Drosophila melanogaster: one gene and its partner. The protein of the gene in region 2 interacts with the protein of the main gene of each other region in a pairwise test. Each region holds a gene or a part of one and is shown on either strand. Other genes may lie near its edges.

What was found.
Region 1: the proteins of CG13887 (region 2) and Zfrp8 interact in a two-hybrid assay, tested with the Drosophila melanogaster proteins (one large-scale study listed by BioGRID).

The regions. Positions count from the first base shown.
Region 1 is NT_033778.4:24,132,413-24,135,961, reverse strand, and holds Zfrp8 (zinc finger protein RP-8), read right to left. Parts: upstream 1,974-3,549; 5' UTR 1,947-1,973; coding exon 1,678-1,946; intron 1,621-1,677; coding exon 1,536-1,620; intron 1,482-1,535; coding exon 792-1,481; 3' UTR 736-791; coding exon of another isoform or gene 595-735; 3' UTR 557-594; downstream 1-556. Other genes in the region: Naa35 (N(alpha)-acetyltransferase 35), read left to right, coding at 1-532, 595-735.
Region 2 is NT_037436.4:836,174-840,460, reverse strand, and holds CG13887 (uncharacterized protein), read right to left. Parts: upstream 2,601-4,287; 5' UTR 2,341-2,600; coding exon 1,837-2,340; intron 1,359-1,836; coding exon of another isoform or gene 1,308-1,358; exon of another isoform or gene 1,212-1,307; coding exon 1,029-1,211; 3' UTR 530-1,028; downstream 1-529. Other genes in the region: JMJD5 (jumonji domain containing 5), read left to right, coding at 1-403; CG13901 (uncharacterized protein), read left to right, coding at 3,010-3,678; CG42554 (uncharacterized protein), read right to left, coding at 3,908-4,287.

The DNA of each region.
Region 1 (3,549 bases), on a different chromosome or scaffold from region 2:
GGAACTATATGCTGTGCATGAGTTCCTCTACATCTACTGGTATCCATACGAGTTCCTCATTGGCTTCCTGGTCTCCGCGCTGACGCGCACGGAGAACATCCTCCTGGCCCAGGAGGAGTACGCCGAGCACCAAAGTAAGACCCAGTCGGGCGGCAGCGGAGCGGCTAAAAACCGCAAGGCGGCCAAGCCGAAAAAGAACAAAAAGACTCAAAGGCCGTACCGCGCCGAGATCGTCTTCTACCACGCGCTACTCAGCCTCTGCGGCGGAATGTATAAAGCAATGGGCGCCCTGACCAAAGACGGACGCGTGCGACTGCCGCTGTCCAAGTTCGACAACGAGGAGATCCGCTACAACCGACGCTTCCTGCCCTTCGCCACACTCACCAGTCCTCCGCCAGTTTCGTACGCAGAGTTCAAAAACGTCCGGGAGCACATGATGCGACATAGCGTCGAGGATCTATATACCTATGCGGCCAAGCACTTTGACCAGGCCCGCAATGTTCTCGAAAGCATTCAAAACCCAGATCAGGAGGTAAGTCAATGGTAGTTCTGAATTGGTTTTCCTGGATTAAAATGCGTTTCGTTTAATTTCAGATGCTGGACCTCCTGCAAATCGCACGGACTAACTTTGTGGTGATGAATGTGCTGGCTCGCGGTCACCAGAAGGAAGTCAAGCGGCAGCCAGAGTTCGACTTCTCCAAACACAGCTACTTCCCCATCATCAAGCTGAAGTAAATGTTCACGTGTTTCGTAATTGACAAGAATAAAATTTAAATGTACGCATTTTAATGTCAACTCTGATCCTCCGCCACAATGTCCTGCTTGATGAGAAGCTCCTCCACGTAGCCGTCGATGGGGCAGCTTTTGGCGCAAGTGTAGACGGCCAGGACGCCCCAGTCGAGGTTTTCGTCCTCCAGAAGAGTCAGCGCTTGCGGCATAATCTGAAATTCGAACTGACGCTCTCCTCCGCAAGCAATGCAATTGGGCAGCTTGTTAAGTTGGTCCTCCACCGTTTTGACGGTATTCGTGATCCAGAGGGGCTGGCCTCCACGTTTGTAGCGCACGATCTGATCGGGTTCGGCTGCTGTTTGCTTTTTGAACTGACGAAAGGTCTTGTCATCGGCGGCCGCCGAGTTTCCGAAGTACTTGTCCATCTCCGCCTCGGAAACATTGCTCAAGTCGCCCGTCTTCCCGCTGGACTCCAGCTCCTGGAACTCCGCCAAGCGAGCCTCATCGTCCTTGTCCTCCTCGCCAGACTCCACGGGGTTGCTGTCCATTACAATCTCAAATTCTGGGAAAACGATTTGTGTTAAGGGCTTCTCAGTGGCTACTTCTGGTGCTCCGCAGTTTGGCTTGTGTTGTGGCCAGTGGGCCCTTTGATGCTCTGGTGAGCAGTAGTGGATTGCCTTGCATTTGCTGCAGGCGTGAGGAGCATGGCAACCGCAGGCGGCGCATAGTTTCTTTAGGCAGGGAACGGCGGGCTAAGAAAACATATTATGATGAGTATGTTCTGAAAATATGGCTGCTGTTCCTACCAGGGGTTGACCCACGTCGCTCGGCTCCTCCTCCGAAAAGAACTTATTTTTTCGCGGCAACTGTGACCTGAGGACTGTGAAATTGCTGGAAAGATGGGTAAGATTAGGTTGCAAGTTGGTTTTCAGAGCTAGAAGGGATTACCTTGCATTTTGGGCCTCCTGGCAGTCGGAATTCCGGCACAGGAACACATAGATGGACCGATGAAAGTTGTACTCGTCTTCGAAGGGAGCGTATAGCTGAGCCAGGAAGGATTTGGGTGCCCTGCACTTGCTGCACTGCAGCTGCGACGTGGGCGGCAAGGCCTCCAGTTCCAGCCATGCGGGCTGGCCTCCCAGCTTGCTGGGAAAGTAGCGGTTGCTCAGCCAGGCGCCATTGTCGCTCTTTTCCGCAAATCCCAAGTCAATCTCCATTTCTTTCAATCTCCGAAACGAAACTCGTGTTCAGTGTGACCGCAGCGGGAGCGCCAGAAAATACCTCTACAAATTCCGAAATAACGTTGTATAATAACTGATATTTTCGGGGAATCACACTTTTTGGGTGTTATAATTTAAAATTTAAATTAATTACATTCGTTTAATTTGTTGATTTCGGCAGTTCAATAAAATAAAATATTCTTTTCTTCATTGAATATTTGCGATTACTCTTATAAACATAAGGGGGAAACATAAGATTTTAATTTAATGACATTAATCTGGAAGAATAACAAATCTCATTATCCTGAGCCCTTAAAAATGGCAAGCGGTTCAAAATTATAGAGCGAGGATTAATCAGATAAGGCCCCTCTTCTACGCCACTGATAATAAAGCTTGCATGCCATGGATTTGGTATTTTCCGCGAGTTCCTCCATGGCGATTTCCCAGATTTTGGCCACTTCAGTATGCGGTTATTTCTCACGGTTAAAAGTTCTGCTCTCCGAGTTGATTAAACTGGCTAAAGTGATATTTTATTTACTGTTGTGATAAACGCGTGTGAAAAACAAAGACTTTCCATTGCCCGCGGACACAAACGATCACGAACCGAAGAGTGAACCGCTCAGAAACGGGGGGAAAACCAGTTTTCCCACGATTTGATGTGATTGTGAAAGCGCAACGAGATTTGTCAACGCAAACAAGCAAGAAGAAGAGCCCGTGGATAGCGTAATATTTGTTAATAATAACGGCTGCAAAAACAACAACATTGCGGAAGCAGAATCTCCGACTTGTCGCGTTTCCGTCGCAGCAGCGCTAAAAATAAACCCACCCACGCACCGCCCCCTCTCGAATCGCCAACCACCCACTCCCGCCCACCATCCACCTACCACCACCTTCCGCCCACACCCACGCACGAATTTGGAGAGGTGAACTTGTGTTGACTTTTCCAGCGCGCGGACTTTTCCGAAGAAAAATGCAAAAATGAGAGCCGAGCCACCAGCGGACCACTGGGAATTTGCGTAAGTCCAAGGCGGATGCTTCCTGGTTTCGAATTACAGGGTATCACGTGCGCTGCTGCGAGCTAGTGAACAAGAAGGCACCAGATGTTTGATGGAGTGCACATAGAGAAAAGTTTGTGTAGGAACTATTAGGTGTCCGGTACAGGGTATCTCCGCTTCGATGCCCCTGGCAGTGGCTCGCTTTCTGGCTGCCAAAGAACGAGCCGGGTGAGCTTTTATTTGCTAAATTTAGTGCCGCATTGCTGAAAATAAGAATGGGAGCACCCTGCCATCGGTTGCCGGTAGGCAGACTCATATATATGTATATGTATATGCATAATCGCCCCTGACGGCCAGTGTGTGGTTCGGTGGATCTTTGTCCAGGGCACATGGCCCGAAACTGTTGCATGGCCCATCCTCGTCCTGGCCAATCGATGCCTTCGATGCCGACTTCGACTTGGAGTGCTGCCTGAATCAATAAACGCCTCAAATCCCTGCCATATTGCGTCCATTGTAATGTCAGCACATAAATTCTCTGCCCATCGAGGGGCATTTTCACTCGGCTGCAGGCATTCGGTAGTGGTATGTACGCTATGTGTCCTGGC
Region 2 (4,287 bases):
CCTCAAAGAGGATATATCCATTCCCGACTACTGCACCATCAGCAACGAAGATACCCCAGGAGCTGTGGACATCAAAGCCTGGCTGGGACCAGCTGGAACCGTATCTCCCATGCACTACGATCCCAAGCACAACTTGCTGTGCCAGGTATTCGGTTCGAAGAGGATCATCCTAGCTGCTCCTGCAGACACAGACAATCTGTATCCCCACGACAGTGAGTTTTTGGCCAATACAGCGCGAATAGATGCTGCTCAACTGGATCCTGAAACATATCCCTTGGTAGCCAAGGTGAAGTTCTACCAGCTGCTCCTGCAACCTGGTGACTGTTTGTACATGCCACCCAAATGGTGGCACTATGTGAGATCTGAAGCTCCTAGCTTCTCTGTAAGCTTCTGGTGGGAGTAAGCATTTTAATGCAGTTTATTGAACAGCAAATTTATGTAGGATGATCTCTGTTCAAGTTAAGATTAAAGTATGCACTGCAAAACCACGATAGATCACTAAATATGCGAATTTGATTAGCATTTCTGGGTAATTATCAAGGAAACATATTCGATGCCCTTTTCGCACACCGATAATGTAACGCCTCCGATTTCTAAGCTCCAAGTATGCAAACAGGTTGCGACGTCTGACGTCATTGCCGTGTACTATCAGACATGATGTGGACTATCCGCGCCAACAGATGAATCATCGAATCGATCACAACTGGATGGGTACTTTTTGGTTGTTCTTTTAATAGCCACGACGCTTTTTGGGTGTGTTACTGTGGCAAACAAAACTTAACACATACGAATTAAATACAAAACTTCGGACGAAACGAACATTGAGTTGAGGGACCATTATCAATATACCCCATTATCATTATCAAATGGTATATGTAGTTGTATCTATGAGGATTAACAATAAGATGTGTGTGCTTTCTATCGATTTGAAATCGTTATAATCTTTTAAATGTGCCTGCTTTCGCTGCCCCACCGCCATGCTTATAAGTCTTATCGTTATTTAAATGTTGGACTTGGCTCCAGTGAGTTTAATCATCCTTGTTTCCGCCTCCGCCGATGGTTATCTTCTTCTGCAGCTTGCTGTACTCCTCGGTGAGTCGGTCGTACTCGCGGTTGATGCTCTCCGCCTGCGACTTAACCGCCTCCTTGTCCTTCTTTTCGCGATTCAAGTCGGAGGTTAGCTCCTGGACGCGCTCGCGCAGCTTGTTGAGCTGCAAAATTCGGATTTCGTTTGAGTTTCGATTGGATTTTTGTTCGTTTTGGGTGTTTGGGAATGGATATAAGGTGGGTGCTCTAGGTGGGGATACTTAGGACACTCGGGCGGTGAGTCCTTGCACACGTCTCCGCAGTCTTGACAGCTGTTTAAAGAGTTAACAAGAGGTTTAAACTTTCGAGTGGTGGCTTCTGTTTATCGTGGCCCAACATATGTGTTTGGGTGTGGTTTCAAAACGTTTAGCTGCGGTCAAAACAAAAGCACTAAGCCTATGACAAATTCACTCGGTCTTCAAACTGATTTAAGTTTACGTTTAAGATTTTAATCATGATATATACTGGTATTTAAAGTTCTATATCGTTAATAGACTACATTTAAAGCCTTTTCGTATCTTATATTCAAAACCAATTGAGAAAATGTACCAGAAAGTGGAATGAAGTATAGATTTTATAGATTTAGTCGGCTAAAGACATTATCTCGCCATATTTTGACCACACCTTCTATATGCATTGCCATATCTTTACAGCTGGTAGTAGCCAATTGAACTCCAAAGTCTTAGGTGTTAGCTCTCTAGACATGCCATTCCTGGGGATCGGATGCAGGGGTTTGGGACGTGGACTCACCTCGATGAGAGTGGTATCCTCGCCGGCTTCCTTGGCCTTCTCGGTGTTCTTGTTCTCCAGCAAGGAACGTGCGGCTGCAGTGGCGCTCTGTGCCTGCTTGAAGGAAGCCTCGCTCTGGGCCATGAGATTGGCCTGGGTGCAGATCAAGTTTACCAGTCGCCGGATGACCAGGGCAAGGAAAATGGCGAATCCAGAGATGTAGAAGTTCCGCTGGGCACGGAACAGCTTCATGCTGTGCTGCATCTCCACGTTCAAGTGGACCTCGTTAGACTGCTGCAAGCCGGAGTACTTGCGCATCTCGCGAATGGCCTCCAGGAGGAAAATGACCAGAATTCCCATGATCAGCAGGAAATATATGTGCGCCTGTTGTCCCAACATCGATAGGAATTTGGACTTGAAGAACCGGTTCCAGCGGTAAGGAGTGAGCACCGGCAGCACCAGCAGAAGGACCAGTGCGATTTCCGCATAGAGAAATCCGGCGATCAAAGTCCACACCAAACTCATTTTTAATGTTTTATTAATTCCCTTTTTCGTTCGATTTTCGCTTCTTGGATTTTCGCTTTTTTCGACTGCCGCCTGTAAGCAGAAATGCGTCCAAATTAGCTGCTAAGTCTACGGATTCGGGACGGACGGTCTAGTGGCTATTTATAAACTACGGCCGGAGTGACTGGCTGCTTACTTTAAATAGCAATAATTAAATCGCTGCCGTGATGAAATATGCGTATATTTTATGTAGTCACTGCGCCGGCCACGTCAACTCTGTTTTTTTGTGTACGCACGGGGCTGCCAACTCGCGCGCTGGAATCAACTGTAAATTGGGTAGCCAGAAAAAAGCTGAATTCATGGAAAATATTCGAATTTCAAAATCATTTTATTAGTAAGTAAAAAAAATGGCAAGAATTAGTACGTATTTTGCATTAAAATTAACCATTACCTCCAAATATTACAAGACAAATCGATCATAAGGTATTGTATGTAATGCTTTAAAGTGCCTTGGTAACCCGGCTTGCGATGTAAACAAGCTGGCAGCTGGGTTGCCAGGTTTCCATCGCAATGTGCTTCTCAACAAATTTTCAACTTTGCGCCATCGATCAAATTTTCTGCCCCGTTCAGTTGTTATATTCGAATCTCCGGCGGAGACGTGTGCCTAGGTAATCCCATCAATCCCCAGAGATGTCCTACCAGAACTGGCTAAACTACCTGCAGGCGGCGGAGAAGAACTCCATGATAAGTGGCCGCGCCCGCAAGGTGCTCTACAAATTCCCGGACGGCAGGCAAATGGCCGAGGAGTACAACATGGACACGGGAATCGTGCAGCGGCGGGCCTGGAAATCGAAGAGCAACAAGATCATGGGCGAGTCGGAGTGGGAAATCGAGCTGGGCGATGAGCCGCGTCAGTTAAACTGGTCGGGCAACAAGCCACCAGGATCTGGCGAGGAAACGGACTCCCTGGCCGGCGGAGATTTCACCCTGCGGGAGAGCAACACCGCGCCACTGCTGACCAAGCGGATCACCAAGAAGAACATTGAGTGGCGCATCCGCAACATGCCCTACTCCCTGGACACATACAGCGTAACCGCCGATCCCGAGAAGCGTGCCATAGTCGTGCGCACCTCGAACAAGAAGTACTACAAGGTCATCCCGGTCCCGGAACTGGACCGCTGTGGGGTCAAGCCCGCGCAGGAGAGCCTCTCTGTCCACCACCAGTTCAACACGCTGATCATTACCTACCAGAAACCAGATATCCTCTGCGAGATGGAGGCACAGGTGCTGCTTCTGCTCAAGAATGTCGACACCGAAACCGACATGGATGATCTGCTGAAGGGTCTGATGGCCAAATAAACGACTTAGATTGTAATACACAAAGTATTATTATTATTATTATTATTGTGAATTAACCTAATTTAATTTATTTAGAGAATTCCCAAATACACTTCACAAAGGGAACTGCACAAAACGTTGAAATGAAGAACGTGCCTAAAATTAAATCCTAATCACCACTCAGCGGGCACTGCATTACCACGAGATCTTTCAAATTAGTTGAAGTTTTACAAATGGATCTTAACCAGGCCTATTTCTGGAAGCTCTCAGCCATGCCGGCATAGCTGGCCAACGAAGGAGCCGAGGAGCTGGTGAACAGGCTGTAATCGAAGGAGGGCAACTCCAAGGGCGCCAAGGATGGCAGGTCCAGGTCTCCACTGCCCGCCAGCCGCTGATCGCAAGTATCGTGTTCCTGCTCCTCCTGGGCAGAATCGCTCTTCTTCAGCGTCTCCATATGGGGCTCCGAATGGGCCAGTGTGCTAGAGGCCTTTGCCACCAAGGAGGAGGTGAACTTGGCATCGAAGTCCTGCACTGTTTTGTCGATTGCCTTGGCCACCGACTGAGCGGATCCTCCTGCGCCTCCACTTGCTCCGGCTTCTGGTCGCAGGGGCAGCATGGGACTGGTTTCCT